Linked DNA regions of Notamacropus eugenii. The main gene of each other region encodes a partner of the protein of the gene in region 2 in a complex. Links are inferred from orthologs where the notes say so. Each region holds a gene or a part of one and is shown on either strand. Other genes may lie near its edges.

What was found. The genes of interacting proteins can lie anywhere in the genome.
Region 1: the proteins of FGFR1 (region 2) and KL are in contact, whole or in part, in a cryo-EM structure (PDB 7YSH), measured with the Homo sapiens proteins. The link is inferred for Notamacropus eugenii from reciprocal best matches to the Homo sapiens genes FGFR1 and KL. Residues at the interface, in NP_075598.2 of Homo sapiens: Asn272, Gln288, Leu290, His292, Ile293, Asn296, Gly301, Pro302, Leu305, Pro306, Tyr307, Val308, Gln309, Ile310, Leu311, Lys312, Glu322, Leu326, His327, Leu328, Arg329, Asn330, Glu334, Asp335, Thr340, Leu342, Leu349, His351; in NP_004786.2 of Homo sapiens: Ser539, Gln540, Phe541, Asp543, Leu544, Asn545, Val546, Tyr547, Leu548, Trp549, Asp550, Val551, Lys555, Arg556, Leu557, Val560, Val563, Thr565, Lys566, Arg568, Tyr571, Val573, Ala576, Glu625, Arg628.

Annotation. Positions count from the first base shown.
Region 1 is NC_092876.1:202,147,677-202,155,603, reverse strand, and holds the start of KL (klotho), read right to left. Parts: upstream 3,015-7,927; 5' UTR 2,717-3,014; coding exon 1,871-2,716; intron 1-1,870. UniProt on the Homo sapiens protein: May have weak glycosidase activity towards glucuronylated steroids. However, it lacks essential active site Glu residues at positions 239 and 872, suggesting it may be inactive as a glycosidase in vivo.
Region 2 is NC_092872.1:622,453,310-622,461,146, reverse strand, and holds the start of FGFR1 (fibroblast growth factor receptor 1), read right to left. Parts: upstream 3,010-7,837; 5' UTR 2,873-3,009; intron 2,605-2,872; exon of another isoform or gene 2,369-2,604; intron 1,381-2,368; exon of another isoform or gene 1,274-1,380; intron 1-1,273. UniProt on the Homo sapiens protein: Tyrosine-protein kinase that acts as a cell-surface receptor for fibroblast growth factors and plays an essential role in the regulation of embryonic development, cell proliferation, differentiation and migration.

The DNA.
Region 1 (7,927 bases), on a different chromosome or scaffold from region 2:
AGATTTTAAGGGACTGATTTCACCATTATTTAAAAACTGAATATCACTTTATAATTTATAAACATTATCAGTTCAACTCTGTGATAGCCTAGTGCTATATCTCTGAATTGATTCACTTTTAGTTCTAAACAGCATTTTGGGTAAAAAAGTTTTTATTAGCGTTCTTTATCTAGAATCTAGTCAAAATATGTAGATGTTTAAAGTCATTAAAACAAGAAGTTTTCATCATAAATTTTACATAGAAACTATTTAAATAACTTTCACAAATATGTAAAATGCAAATAAGATATTTTTGTAAAACAAAAAAAAAGAACAGTACTTGTAGAAACTCTAGGCAGCTAATCAATATTATTTCAATGAGCTGAAACCTTTCATGAGAGAGTTACTACCATAAAAGATTAAATGTTACCTAAAAAGCAAAAGAGATCATGATGCTTAGTCCATTACCAACCATTGTTCCACTGTGGTATTTTTAGCATTTTTACATTAAAATTTTATGCAACTTACTGTTAAAACTAATTTTATCAGGTAGTGAGTTAATAAGATTTATTTCACTCGTGGAAGATTTCAAAACTGAAGACGCTGCAGAGAAACAAATGTATAGATCAACAATCATAGTACGATACAAAGACACAATGTACATTTTGACCCTAGTTTTGAAATTTTCTATGAAATTTTGAACTAAAAGATATTTGGAATGGTAACTCAAGTAGTTCTGTCACTCTGCCACAGGTGATACTTTCAAGTACAATTTGACCCAGAGATGTCATTTTGAAAGTATTTTATTTGCTGTATGCACAAGAAAACTTAGCTAAAGTGATTTTTTTTTCTTGGAAGGGTCAGCGTATCCTGCCCTTACTGACAACATTTAATTCACCTCATAACCATCGACTATATAAAAGACTGGTTACTGACTATCTGAATAGCTTCTGAAAAACTTGTGTCTAGTGGACTTCCTCTTTCTTCTCCAATCACTAAATAAGTAAAAAAAACCAAACAAACTACACTTCCAAACAAAAAAAAAAAGACCCACAAACCCCTCCCAAACCTGTAGGACTTGCTCAATACACAAATTCAAGGTGATCCCAAAAGTATTCTTACCAGGAAAGGCATTTTAAACCTCTTACTGAGCCATCGGGTACCAAAGTAGATAATCTCTAGAGTCAAAGGAGGTCAAATAACCAGCTGTTATTAGTAGTAGTACTACTGTCATTGCGTCTGTTTGAGTTTAAATCCTATGATCCCATACATTCATTCTGACTTATCCTGATTCACTACTTCCCTTCCCTGTTCTAATTTAGTACCCGTTATGCGAAGTCTGGGTTGCTAAAGAGGGGGCTAAGAACACTGGAAAGACAAACTCCTATCAATAGAGTCAGACAATTTGGGTTTAAATTTCAGCTTTCATGCTTGCTAAATTGGTGATCTTTCTACTTCACTTTTCTCATTCATAAAGAGACCAAATTGGATTAGACGCCTCTCAGATCTTTCTCTTAATTTTATGAATAATTTTGTCCCTCAGGTGCCTGGCTCAAACACCTCCACAACTTTTTATTCTAGCTTTCCTTTCGGATAGGAACATCTGGGACACTTGCCTTCTTTTACCCTGCTTCTATACCGAAGTCCCTTTCCGACTCGTTTCTCCAGCTGTCACTAACTAGCTGACCTTAGGCCAATCTCCCCGCTTTAAGCCTCAGTGCCCTCACCTGTAAAATCAGGGATTTGGGCCAGATGACGCCTAAAGTCCTTTTGAATTCTAGGTCCCGCGGTCCCTGTACTCCACCTTCCTTGGCTCACCCCTCTTTCCCTCCCTCTCCAGTCCTGCAATGATTCCTTGGACTGACACCACCCCACTCCCCCCGGGACTCACCAGGAGCAGGTTATGGGCCACCTGGTAGCCAAGCCGCCGGTTACCCCGCACACCAGGGGCCAGCCTCCCTGTGGCATAGCCGTGCCAGGCCACCACATAGGGGTTGTCGATGGTGATCCAGTACTTGACCTGGCCGCCAAAGTGGCGAAAGCAGAGCTCGGCATAGTCCCTGAAGAGGTCGGCCACGGTGCGGTTGGCCCAACCTCCGTAGATGTCCTGCAGGCGCTGCGGCAGGTCCCAGTGGTACAGGGTGACCACGGGCTCCACGCTGAGCTGGCGCAGCCGCTCCAGCAGGCGCCGGTAGTAGCGCAGCCCCTCGAGGTTGGGGGGCCCCGCGCCCACGCCGCCACCTCCGGGCAGCACGCGAGCCCACGAGATGGAGAAGCGGTAGTGGGTGACCCCGAGCTCGCGCAGACCCTCGGTGTCGCGGAAGATATGGTTGTAACTGTCTCCGGCCACGTCCCCCGTGGCGGGACGGGACAGAGCCGGCGGCAGAGACGGCTGGGAGGACCAGGAGTGGGACGGGGCTGAGAGTTGGGGCAGGAGGTCCCCTGGGGGCGCAGCGGGGCGGTGGGTGAAGGTGTCCCAGATGGAGGCGCCCTTGCCATGCTGCCTCCAGCCGCCCTCCGTCTGGTAGGCAGCGCTGCCCACTGCCCAGAGGAAGCCGTCGGGGAAGGTGTCGTGGAGGAAGCCCGCGACCTCGGGCGATGGAGCTCTGGCGAAGCGGACCCAAGTCTGCGCGCCATCCCCCGGATCAGCGCGCAGGCAGCCGCACAGCAGGCACAGCAGGGGCAGGGGCAGAAGTAGCCGCGGCGGGGCGGCCCCGGCCCGAGCGTGGGGGCTCATCTTACCTGCGGGGTAGCAGGGGAGCACTCATGTGAGGCCCTAGCTCCCAGGCCGGACCCCTTTATCACTGCTCCCGCCTGCCTCCCTCCCCGCCCCTCCACGCGCTCCGCGCCTTCTCCACAGTCTCGCCCACCTCTGCTTCCCTCAGTGGGCAAGTCTGTCAATAATTACCTGGGAGCCCCCGCCTTCCCCTCTTCTCCTCTCTTCCTCTCCCCTCCCATCCCATATCCCGAGACTTGGTGTTGAGGTTAGTACCATGATCTGGAAGAGGAGAAAATGATACCCAGGGGAGAGCCAGGGGAGAGGACAGGGAGAACCAGGCTCTCTGGAGACCCTGACAAGGAACCTCAGGGAGAGGGGAAAGACGGATCTTTTACTGGCGACAAAAGAGCAGGGAAGAAAAAGCACCTGTTAATCTTCATCTCACTACTCTTCTCCGAGAAGTAACTGATGCATAAGGAGGGTGAAATCATTTATAAACCTAGATCAGGAAAGACGAGGGATGTGTGTGCATCCATCTAGAAAAGTGAGAGGGAAGACCAACTTAACTGGAGGACAGAACTAAATCTTCAGCTGAAACCATCCTCCATCTCCACGAAAGAGGATAAAAGATAGTCCAGAAAGGAAATCTGCCTTCTTGGCTGGATTACTGTATCAACATTATCATCAAACAAGTGACCTCCCCTCAAAAGCACCTGCTTCCTCATCTTCACCCCACCCCCATTGTTGCCTAAAAATATACTTTTCCTTGAAACATAGGTAGAATTTTTTTTTTTTTTATGGACTGGGGAAGTAAAAGGATGGAGTAAGTGATTTTTCAGTGAAGATAAATTTCTCAGCATTCTAACTTTCAAACATTCTCAAGGTATTACCCATTGCCACACATTTTACCAGTCACTAAAGGATGAGGTCCTCTGGTGGTATACCTGATTGTAATAGAAATGTGTCTTCTTACCACTACTCAATGATTCTGAGTTTAATTTTCCACTTTCTGCATGGTCAGTGCTTTTCCCTCTTTCCCTCTTACCCTTGGTCTTTTAGCCATTCCATTATCTATTAGATTTTCCAAGAGATTATGAAAAATGCCTGCTTGAAATTCAAATCATTAATATGAAATTTTTTTATTTATCTAGGATGAAGGTTTGAGTGATCAGTAATGGTAATTTATCCCACTCTCCTTTCTACACTTTTCCTTAAAATTTGTCCTATACACCAGCAACTAAATTATCTTAACAAAATTATGAGTTCAGTGCTGCCTAGAGGCTTCAGCGAACAAAGAATCTGATTATGTGTTATGAAACTCAGGGGGATAGGGATAATGAGAAGGAAAAAAATAACAAAAATGCTGGGGGGTTTTTACCAGATATCAAAAAGAAATGTTGGTCCAAAAAACTGTGGCACCATAGGACTTGTTGATATCCCTGAAATCATGTTCCATACAGTAGTCTATTATTAAGGAAAGGTCATTTCTGGATTGCTTAGCATAATACCACAAATGATATGACTTCTACTTCTTCCATTTGTAAATACAGCAATGTTAAATAAATTTAGGTACAGCAAGCATGCAACATTATCTGTAAGATTAGAAAGTCTGGGCCATGACATAAATATGAAATAATATGACTACCATTCCATGGGCTTAATAAAATATAATTATTAAATGCAGCCTCATTTTTTTCCCCTAAAATGATTTGGCTCTATAAGAGCCAAATATAAATTTCAATTTCAATTAGAAATACTTCAGAGGTCCCATGGGAAAAGAGCTTAGGCTACGTATCAACTTCTCAACTTCCATGTAGTTGTTCTTCAGGGTAGAGTGTATCTAACACTACTTTTTTTTTTCTAAACAACACAAAATCCAAAGATAACTTTAGAACTAATAGAAAAGAAAAAACTAATAAAATGCATCATATCTAAAATTCAGCTGTACAGAAGAAACTTAAGAAATACAGGTCTCCTTAGGGTAATATTAAAACTTTCATCCATAGATGTCCCCAGGAGATGTTTTTAACTTAAGATTGAAGACTTTATGATAATCAACCCTTATTTTTAGAAATACTTATTTATGAAAGTTCCACCTATAATGACTATCACAATTTTGAAGTGTCAATTACTATTGCTATGTATTTTAACATTTTCATTTCGTTAAATATAGAAAGTCTTGTTACCTTTGGTAACCATTAATAATCATGTAATGTGGATATCATTAGAGTGGCCACATAGAATCAGGAGATTTGTATTGGAATACTTGTTTTGACACTTAAGAGCAATGTGATTCTGTTTAACTGCCCTAAACTTTAGGTTATTTATATATAAAATGGAAAAGATAATCCACAGTTTCACAAGTGGTTTTTTTTTAAAGTTCTTTGAAATCTTAACTAAATAAATATAAATTATCTTCCAGGGCAAAACTCTTTTGAGAGGATACTAACGTATATTTTATACATGAAGATGATGTTCCTGACTTCCTTTTCAAAAGGATCCATGATTAAAGTTGTTTTTCCGGCAGTGAGAATGAATTTTCAGTAATCCATCTAACCTCTCAATTATCCAAACTATTTCATCCAATATATAATAATAACTGACATTTATACAGCACTTTAGGGTTTGCAGGGCTCTTTATAAACATGGTTTCATTTGATTCACACAACAACCCTGTGAGTTCAGTGCTACAGGTATTATTATTATGCAGATCAGAAAACAATCTCAGAAAGATTAAATGATTTACTCACACAGCTAATAATTTGAACCCAAATCTTCCTGATTCCAGATGCAGCACTCTGTCCTCTAAACAATGCCATCTCTCATTTACACTGTTAACCCTGCTTCACTCTAGAGTAGACCAGAGGTTAAGCTGGGAAGTGGGAGGTCCATGAACCTGAATGGGGGCATTGGAGGTGGGGAGAATTACATTTTTGTTTTCTTTTTATTTTCCTGGTAATTCTATGTGTTTTATTGTTTGCAGTTAAAAACATTCTTATGAGAAGGGGTGCACAGGCTTCACCAAACAATCAAGGAGGTCCATAATACATAAAAAAAGTCAAGAACTCCCTTTTGTTATTCAGTCATGTGCAACTCTTTGTGACCCCATTTGAAGTTTTCTTGACAAAAATACTACAGTAGTCTGCCATTTCCTTCTCAAACTCATTTTACAGATGAGAAAACTGAGGTAAGAGTTTGAGGTCAGATTTGAATTCAAGAAGATAAGTCTTCTTGACTTTTGGTCCAGCACTCTATCCACTGTGCCACCAAACTACCCCTCAATAACTCCTACTGTAGACCAACTATAAAGTTTTATGTAGTAATGAGATAGCTGAAGCTGGAGATAAAATCATTAGTCAATAGATCTAATCAATCAGCTGATTAATTAAATAGTCATGTATCAGAGGAAGATTTTTATGAAGCTACATATAATTATGATGTCATAGTGCTCTATGTAACCAGTTCAACAATTTAATATGTGCATATCATCATCCTATCAACATATTTGTAACACTCAAGCCCAGAGGAGGGTCAGATAGTTTCCTGAAGGATATTCCCAAGATGGGACACTAGACAAGTAGAAGCATGACTCTTGATTGGCAGAGGTTGGGATACTGTGTATAGCAAACATGAGAGAGATATGACTCCTGATTAATGGAAACTTTGGAGAGAAAAAACAAGAGGCATAGCTTGAAAGAGCTTATGACTTTTGAACAGTGCAAGCTTTTAAACAGGAGGCACTATTGCCATAGACACACCCTTTCTCTCCTCCCCTCCCCAAAACATGTCTTTATATCCCTGAACTCCCAGAGAGTATTTCCAACTTTCCAGATGAGGGAAATTACCTGGAGATGGTGCCACTTGAGCTGTCTTCAACAAGTTTCCCAGTTTAAAGACATGATACTAGTCTCTCAGGTAATAAAAGAATGAAATAGACAGAATCCTTACCCTCAAGGGATTTGTAATCTAGTTGGGGACATAAGACAGATACACAAAATAGCTATGATACAAATGAAAATATAAGTGCATCTAGCCTCTAACACATACTAGCTGTTGAATCATGGGCAGATCATTTAACCTCTCAGTGCCCCAGGTACACCAGAAAAATTATAAGTGAAATAACTCTGGATGAAAAAAAAGTGAAAGGAGAATAAGTAGTTTAGAACAAAAGATGGAAACCACAACCAAGTAGTAAACTCCCTGGAAATTAAAATCGGCCAAACTGAGTTCAATGTTTCAGAAATAAAATATTAGAATAAAATCAAAACCAAAAAATAGGGGGAGAAAATGTTGACTATCAAAAAAAATTCAAGGGTATGTGGAGATGGTGTCACAAGCTGAGTCTTTAACAATCAATTCTAATCAATTTTGCTACCCTCTTCCATTTTATGGGCGAGTTCACCCCATTCTCATTCATAGTTATAATTGTTAATTGTGTAAATCCTTCCATCATATCCTCTTGCACATTTTCTTCTCTTTGCCCCAGACCTCTCTTTGTAAAGAAGGTAGTAAGAGAAGGAATCTGATCAGCACAATGAACTGCAATTGAAGCTATCTACTTCTGCTTTTTTCACTTCACTTAGACCACTAGTTCTTACTTTCTGTCCTTTTGATAATTTGCCCTCTGAATTTGGTTGTTTTGCTTGTTTGAAGTTAATGAGGTTCTGAATGGACTTGTTTCTTCCCCTCTATTAGAATTGTAAGCTGTTCATCATCACTTAGTCCAGAGATGGGGAACCTGCAGCCTTGAGAATACATGTGACCCTCTGGGTCCTCAAATGTCATTCTTTGACTGAATCCAAACTTCACAGAACAAATCCCCTTAATAAAAGGATTAGCTCTGTAGAACTTGGACTCAGTCAAAAAGCTGCACCCAAGAACCTAAAAGGCCACATGTGGTCTCGAGGCCACAGGTTCCCCACCCCTGACTTAGTCCCTTATAATTGCTCAAGTACATTTTCCTCTCTGGGTAAAAATGGTGAATTTGTAGTCAGAGCACCTGGATTCAAATCCTAGCTCTTCTACTTACTTCCTGTATGATCTTATGCAAGTCACTTAACCTCTCTGGGCCTCCATTTCTTTATCTGGAAAATGCTGGGGTTGGACTAGATGACTTTTAACCTGCTTTCTAGTTCTATATTTATGCTTCTAATTCAATTTCCAGTTACAGATTTTGATCTACTGCCTTGAACTTCGATACCAGTTCTATACTTGGGATTTTCCTAAGAG
Region 2 (7,837 bases):
ACACTTAGCTATGGCTATGACTAAGAGTCAACGTAACAGATATTTCGAGGAGCTCGTCAGCCGCTAGCCGCTGAACAACCCGAGAGGGAGTCAAGCCTGCAGCGGCGGCCGGCGTCTCCAGTCCACTGGCTGCTGACCGGGTGCTAGAAGTATCGGGGCTGGAGCTGCTCCCGACAAACTTCAGCCCTAAATGGGAGGAAATATGTAAACAAGTCATTAGGGAGGCCATAAGGGCAAGTTCGAAGCAGAGGCTGCTGCTCATCCTATTCCCCGAAAGTAAAGAGAGAGCCGTGGCCACTGGGCTAATTAAGCCCCAGAACTGGACTTTGTAGGGGCTGTAAAATCATCCTCGAAGGGTGGGGTGGAAAAAGGCTGAGGAAGGGGGGTGGCTGGGTGGCTGAGACAGGCGGGAACAGGAGGGGGAGAGCAGCAACCCGCCCAGTTGTCCTGAGGCTGCAGGGCAGTCGGTATACCAAAAAAAGCTTGGGTCCGGAGGTGCAGAGAGCAGGGCACATCTGCTGAGGAAACAGTCACCTTAATTACCATGTCTAGAGAAAGTGCGATTTCATTACAACCTCCAAAACTACCGCCCAGAGAAGGAAACCAGAGAAGTGTTTTCAATTTGAAAGAGAGACAGAAGGGAGGGGAGGAGGAGGGAAGTTTGTCTCCCTCTTTCCCTCCCCCACTAAACTTTGGACCATAAGGAGCTTTCCTCGTTTAAGGAACGGACACACACACAACACAAGCAACACACACGCACGCATGCACACCCTCCGTCTGCTTTTCAACCGGTAACCGTTATTTAAATACTAGGGCAGAGTCACTTTAGTTTCCGGGGGCTGCAATCCAAACTACGTTAAAAAACATAGAGACCAACTAGGCTAGGGGCAGTGAGAGCCAACACCTCAACCTGGCCCCATTCACACGCCCCCAGCGCCCGCCGCCGCCGCCACATACCAGCCTTCCAGAGGAAGGGTGGAAAAAGCAACGCATGACTGCCACCGCTGGGGGACGGCCCCCTGGGGCTCCCTCGATGGGAAAGGGGCAATCGGCCTTCCCAGAAAGCCCAAGAAACAGCAGCCCAAGAGTTCAGGCCAACTTCGCCCCTCCCCATCCAAGCTCCAACAGGGCAGGACACCTTTTCCGTTTTCTTTTCATTCAAAGCACAAAAGTGAAATATTGGGGTTTCGGAGAGTTACATCTGCCATCAGCTCGGAGTCCTGGCGGAGTCATGCCCTAAGGGGATGAAGTCTGCCATTCGAGAGTGGCTTACCCAAATATATGTCCGGCACCTTCGATCCCCTCCTCCAAAGCTCCTATTCCCATTTATTTTTACCACCCAAGATGAAGAAGAGAAGTTCCAATAACCCGGGATCCAAGGTAACCTTCTTCTCTCTTCCTACTCCCATCCATCTCTTAGGCGCAGGAAATGCTCCTGGCCCTTGAGGAAAGTGAAGGATCTTAGCATTTTGGGGGTGGGGAGAGGAATAAAAAGCCACAGAGAAATGCTAGGCGCTGTTTGTTTGCAATGTTGCTGTACTGGGTGAAATGGAACCAGATGGGGCTCACTGGTGCAACATCTGGAAAACTAAAAAAATTTAAAAGTGGGGGGAGGGAGAAAGAGACCACAGCAACATTTTGTAAATGGGCCAATCGCTTTTGGTCCCAGCAGAAGCAGACTGGTTTCAACCCTCAACCCCCCATTCTCCACCCCCCACCCGGTTGAGTGAGAGAGGAAAGGGGGATGGGATGAAGCCAACTAGGATTGCCAAACTATACAAAGGTGTCACTCTGGAAACTAAGTTTCCGGTCCCCCTCCTCTTTTTTTTTTTTTTTTTTTTGCTAGCCCGCCTCTCCAGAAAATCACACAGGGGCCAGAGGGCAAATTAATCCAGGCCAGATCTTTGCCAGAAAAAAAAAAAAGAGTGAGGTTCACTGCTGCAAAGTGAACAACACTGGACAAAACATTCTCATTTCATCTCCTATATCCAGATAGATTAGTAGAGTTGAACGCTCCTCCTCTCTCCTCCCACCCCCAACCACCCCCAACCCACACAAGGGCTTATTCGTCCATTGGGCTCCTTCCAATTTCCCTCAACTTCCCTCCCTTCGCCTCTAAGGAATACTACGTAGGAAAAGATAACCCCCTCCCCTAAAGGAAATACCTTCCTCGCCCTCCCCTAAAACGGACTCTTTGCCATTTAGTGACGCCACCTTTCGCCACCTCCCTAAAAACTAAACGAAGAAAAGCTATCCAACAACCTCTCCCTTCCCCCATCCCCCCAATACATATCGGGGCTCGGACTTTACTGGGAGTGGGAAAAAGGGATTAGAAATCGGTCCGATCCAGTGGTCGGACCAAAGCTACCTGCTGCAGTATTGGGGTGAGTCAGTCACCACGAGGGGTGGAGTGGAATGCAGTACACTCAAGACTCAGGCACAATTCTTCCGTCGTCCTCGGACCCCCGAGCCGCCGGCTGCCTTCGCCCTCTGGCCTTTTCCCTTTCCCCAATTCTTTCCCTTCCCCCGGCCTAGAGGCTGCAGACTCCGCAGTCTCGCAGAACCCCGGGCGCTAGTTTGCAGAGAAGTTGGGCGGCGGGAGGAGCCGAGCTGGAAGGGAGGCGCGGAGGGAGTAGGGGCGCACAACTGCGAGCGGGAGAAGGAAGAGGAGGGTAGACAAAAGGGGGGAGCGAGGGGTGAGGAGAGGGGAGACCTCTGGAGCACAGCGCACGCTTAAGCTCCAAAGGGTTACAGGTCGTTAAGCTAGCGCCAGGAGGATGGTGCAGGAGGAGGGTAGAGGATCTCCCAGGCTTGGGGATCTCGAGCTAAGGAGAGGCGGCCTCGCATCTGGAGGGGCCCCAGCCACTCTTACCTCTGTCTGGGCTGCTTTTCCCCTAGAGGAGAGTCGGCCGCAGCTCCAGCGGGTGGGAGTCCGGGTCCCTCAAGTTGACTGGCCGCCCCGGGGACAGAACCCGTCCCTGCGGGGCCACAAGAGCCCCGCAGCCGGTGCACAAGTCCCGGGAGCGGCCCCTACACGGCGCCTCCAGCCCCGGCGGGAACAATAGGGTCGAAGCGGGTGCCCGCCGGAGGGGGGGAGGGCGGAGGGCTCTCCCCTCCGCCTCCTGGGGTCTCTGGACCCCCTGATCCCCCTCCTCCGGAGAGCCGGGGCTGCGGACGGCTCACACCTTCTGCAACCCGGGCTCCATCTCCTCGCAGGGGCCGCGGCTCCGCAGCGCGCCCAGGCTGTGACGGTGGCGGCGGCGGCTACTGCTGCGGTACAGATCCGAGTGTATGTGTGGGCACTGGCAATGTATCCCCAGGACTGGAGGAAAAGTCTTCAGTCACAGTTGTTTCTCCAGCTGCAACGGCTCTTTGGGGTTGGGGGTGGGGGAAGATACGAAGTCTTCGCAATACGCCGAGCCTGGACTCTCTGGGTCTTTTCTGGGAGCTGTCTCAAGGCGATCCAGGTACTCTTGTCTGGGTTCTGGGCGCGCTGCGGCTGAGCACAGGTACGGGCTCCTGCTCACCCCCTGCCTACTCTCCAGGCTGCTCTCGCTGCAGCTTCGGCGGCTGCCCGCCTATCCCACTGAGCGCTTTTAAGGCTATGCGCCTGGAAGCCTCACTCACTGCCTCACTCACTCAGACGATACTCTAGTCTCCACCTCCATCTCCTCCTCCTCCCCCTGCAGCTGCCTGCTGGGCCTTGTAGTTCCTTTACCACTGCTGCAGAGGGGAAAACCAAAGCTGTGTTGCCTTGCTAGTCTCTCGGACCGGAGCTGTGCTCCCGTTAGATAGGGGGTCTGCACCTTTCATCTAGGACAGTGTCGTGCAAGGTTTCTGGGTCAGATCGGAAAAGCCGTTCTTCTAGGAGAATTTCGTGGAAAAGATTCCCGTACCTTCTTCATTTGGACATGCATTACCCCCTCAGCATCTTAGTTCAGGCTTTTATTACCTCCTCTGGACATTGATGTTAACCTCCCCAAATCCCCAATGCATCCTTCACACTGCGGCCAAAGTAACCTCACCTGTGCACTGCTCTTATCATGTCCTTACTCTACCAAAAAGTCTTCAATGGTCCTCCTTTACCTACTAAAAAGAATAAGGTTAAAGCAACCAGTCCTGGCATTCAAGGAATCTCATAATCTGGCCCTAAGTGCCAGCTACGGTGTAATGAGGAGAGCCCTGAATCTGGATCAGAGGAGCTGGGTTCGAATTCTGTTTCTACTACTCTATTCCTCAGTAACCTTAGGCAAGTCAGTTTACCTCTTTTTTAAAAATCTGCAAAATAAAGAGCTTGGGTTAGACCAGGATTTCTAACCGTTATTATGTGTGTATCAAGCGCTGCTTGGAAATCTTTTGAAACCTAAGGACTCCTTACCAGATTTTTTTTCAGTCTGGGTCTCCCTGCCTTGTCCAGGTTGGAAGTGTAGTGACTGTCAAGAGTCCTGATCTCAACACTGGTTAGCATAGAAGTTCTATTCTCCTTGTTTTTCCAGCCTTGGAAGATTTGCTCATCTTTAGGCAGCGTGGTAGTTATAGCAGGGCCCCCCCACCCCATAATTGTATACTGTGAACACCATGCACAGATTGGCTTGTCAAAGGCTATAAATTAGGGCTGGATTTATTATCTTGTCGATTGCCTGGACTTAAGAAAGTGATGGAGAATATATTAATAGCGCAGATTAAACATGACATAGCAATCTTCTTTTACAGAACTGGTTGTTAAACATTTACCAACACACCCTTAGTTTTAACCCTGCTGCAGCTCAGAGTTCCTCAGCTCAGGCTATCAGCCTCAACCTCTTCCAAAAGAAGGGATTGTAGGCAGGAGCTGCCACCACTTCCAACCAGAATCATGTTTTTAGATGTATAAAATAAAACACATAGGATTTCAAAGGAAAATACTTATCTTGAGGTAGAATTATTAATTTTTTAAAAAGCCAAGTTCAATGATCTGCTACATTAGACCAATGCTAAGGCTCCTTATAGCTTCAAACCTCATGATCCTACCTCTTCATACTCCTCTTTTATATTCTACACTATCCCCAAACTAGATTATTTCCTTCCCTGTCTTAGTCCTGCCACCTCCAGTCTGGGTGTCATGATTCACTCTGGTACCCCATGATGGCATGGATCACATTCCCCTTTTTAGCCCACATCGCTGCCTCTTGAAGATTCTCTCTTCTTTCAAGACTCAATGCAGTGATTTCGTATGTATAACCTATATCAAATTTGCTTACCATCTTGGGAAGAGGGAAGGAGAGAGAGAAAAATTCGGAATTCAAAATCTTATAAAAAAATGAATGTTGAAAACTATCTTTACATGTAATTGGAAAAAAATAAAATACCATGAAAAAACTAAAAAATACATAGAATAAATGCCATATTCTTTCAGAACTTAAAAAAAAATGTGGGGCCCAGAATTGAATACACATACACACACGATTCAATGCAGGTGCTCTTTTAAAGTTTTTTGAAGTCTTTTCTTCATACCCTATAACCTTCTCCACTACCAAGGTGAAAGGATCATTTCTCAATACCTAGACATTTCTTTTTACTTTTTATATTAACCCTTGCATCTTTAACTTAGATATTCATGTATATCTTTTAAAATAATAAATTCCTTGACAGCAAGGTCTTTTCATTACTATTCCCAGTGTATAGCACAATATCTTCACATAGCAGGTACTTTCGCAAATGTTTGATAAGTTCAGTTACAGATTTCAAAATGATATAATAAAATAAACAAAGGTATAGCAGTGGAAAGAGTTATGGACCTGGAGTCAGAAAGACCTGACTTCAAATCTATCCTCATATACTTACCAGCTATTTGATCCTGGGTAAGTCACTCAATTTCTGTCTTCAGTTTCCTATCTTTAAAATGGGTTTAATAATAGCACCTATCTTAGGGTTGTTGTGAGGATCACATGAAATATTTGTAAAGTACTTAGTAAACCATAAAGCACTCATAAATGCTGCCTATTATTATGATTATAACTATGAAATGCATAAAGTAACTGGGGACCAATCTACTAAAGCACACAAAATACTCGTATTGATTCAATTACAAAGTGCTCCTTAAAGAAACAAAGATCAGCTTAAGTAGTAGCAGGACTCTTCAGTGGTCAGCTCAGGACTATGTCCATATAATAAAAATCACAATCCTACCAAAGTCAATTTACAATTTCAATACTATACCAATCAAATTAGCAAAGGCATACTTTATAGAACTCGATAAAATAATAACAGAATTCATTTGGAGAAACAAAAGATCTAGAAGATTAAGAGAAATACGTGATGAAAAAGGTAATAATGAAGGGAGAATAGTACTTCCAGACCTCAAATTATGCTAGAAAATGGTGGTCATTAAAACCATTTGGTGTTGGTTAAGAAATACAGAAGTAGCTCAATGGAACAGACCAGATAAGGGAGATTCAGAAACAACAAAACTCAATAATTCAATGTTCAATAAACTCCCAAATATAAATTACTCTGAAAAGTAATTTATTTAAAAAAAAAAAGCTGAGGAAAAAATGGAAAACAGTCTGGTAAAAATTAGGTTTAGACCAACATCTTATGCCATATTCTTGAGTAAATATTAAAAATGAATATTTGACCTTAATATTAAAGATATAAAAATTTATAAAGATATAAAAATTTTGAAGAGAAGCAGCTCATATGTCTCACAATTTTGAGTAGATTCATTCTTAATCAAATAAAGGATAGAGGCCATAACAAAAGATAAAAAAGATAATTTCGATTATATGAAATTGAAAAGTTTTTGTACAAACTAAATTAATGTTTCTAGGATAAGAAGGGAAATAATTGAATGCAGAAAAATCTTTGTAGCAAACTCATCAGATTGGTATATAAGATATATAGATATACATAATACATTTACGTATATGTGGATATATAGACCACATATAGACATACACATATAAATATACGTGTGTGTATATATACACACATATGTATATATGGAGAGAAAGAAAGTAAAATCCATTCTTTAATAGATAAATGGTCAGAGGATATGAAGGGACAATTCTAAAAAGAAGAATTGTAAAACCATGAACAACCATAATGAAAGAATTCTTCAAATAAAAGAAATGTTAATCAAAACAACTAAAAAATTCCACCTCACACCCAGAAAATCGGCAAAGATGATAAAAGATGGCAAGAATCAAGGGTGTAGTGGTTGTGGGGAAACATAATGTATTGTTGGTGCAGCTATGAATCTGCAATCATTTTGGAAGGCAATTTAGAATTATGCAAAGAGAGTGACAAAAAGTCCACGATCTTTGACTCAGAGATTCCACAATGAGGCTTATGCCCCAAGGAAATCACTGATATGAAGAAAATATTCATATACACCAAGACATTTTTAGAAGTACTTTTTGTGGTAGCAAAGAACTAGAAACAAAGTAGATACCTTTCGATTAGGAATTGACTGAACAAATTGTGATTTATGAAGGTAACATAATATTACTGTACTATAAGAAACAACACATGATGAATACAGAGGAATATGGACTTACAGAAACTGATGCAGAGTGAAATAAACAGAACCAAGAAAACAATATACAGAACGAACAACCCCAAAACAAGTGGGTGTGCAAAATGACAAAGAATAAGCAAAGGAGATATGAGAAGACAAGGAAAAATGATACTGAGTAATTTTTGTGATGTAAAAACAAACAAGAAAGATATTAATAAAATTTATCTTAAAAATTTAATTAAAGAATGTAGACTTGATAGGATGCTCAAAAATTATCTAGACCAACTTACTCAGCTTATATATAGCATATGTAGGCTCTGGAGTTACTATCCCAACCCC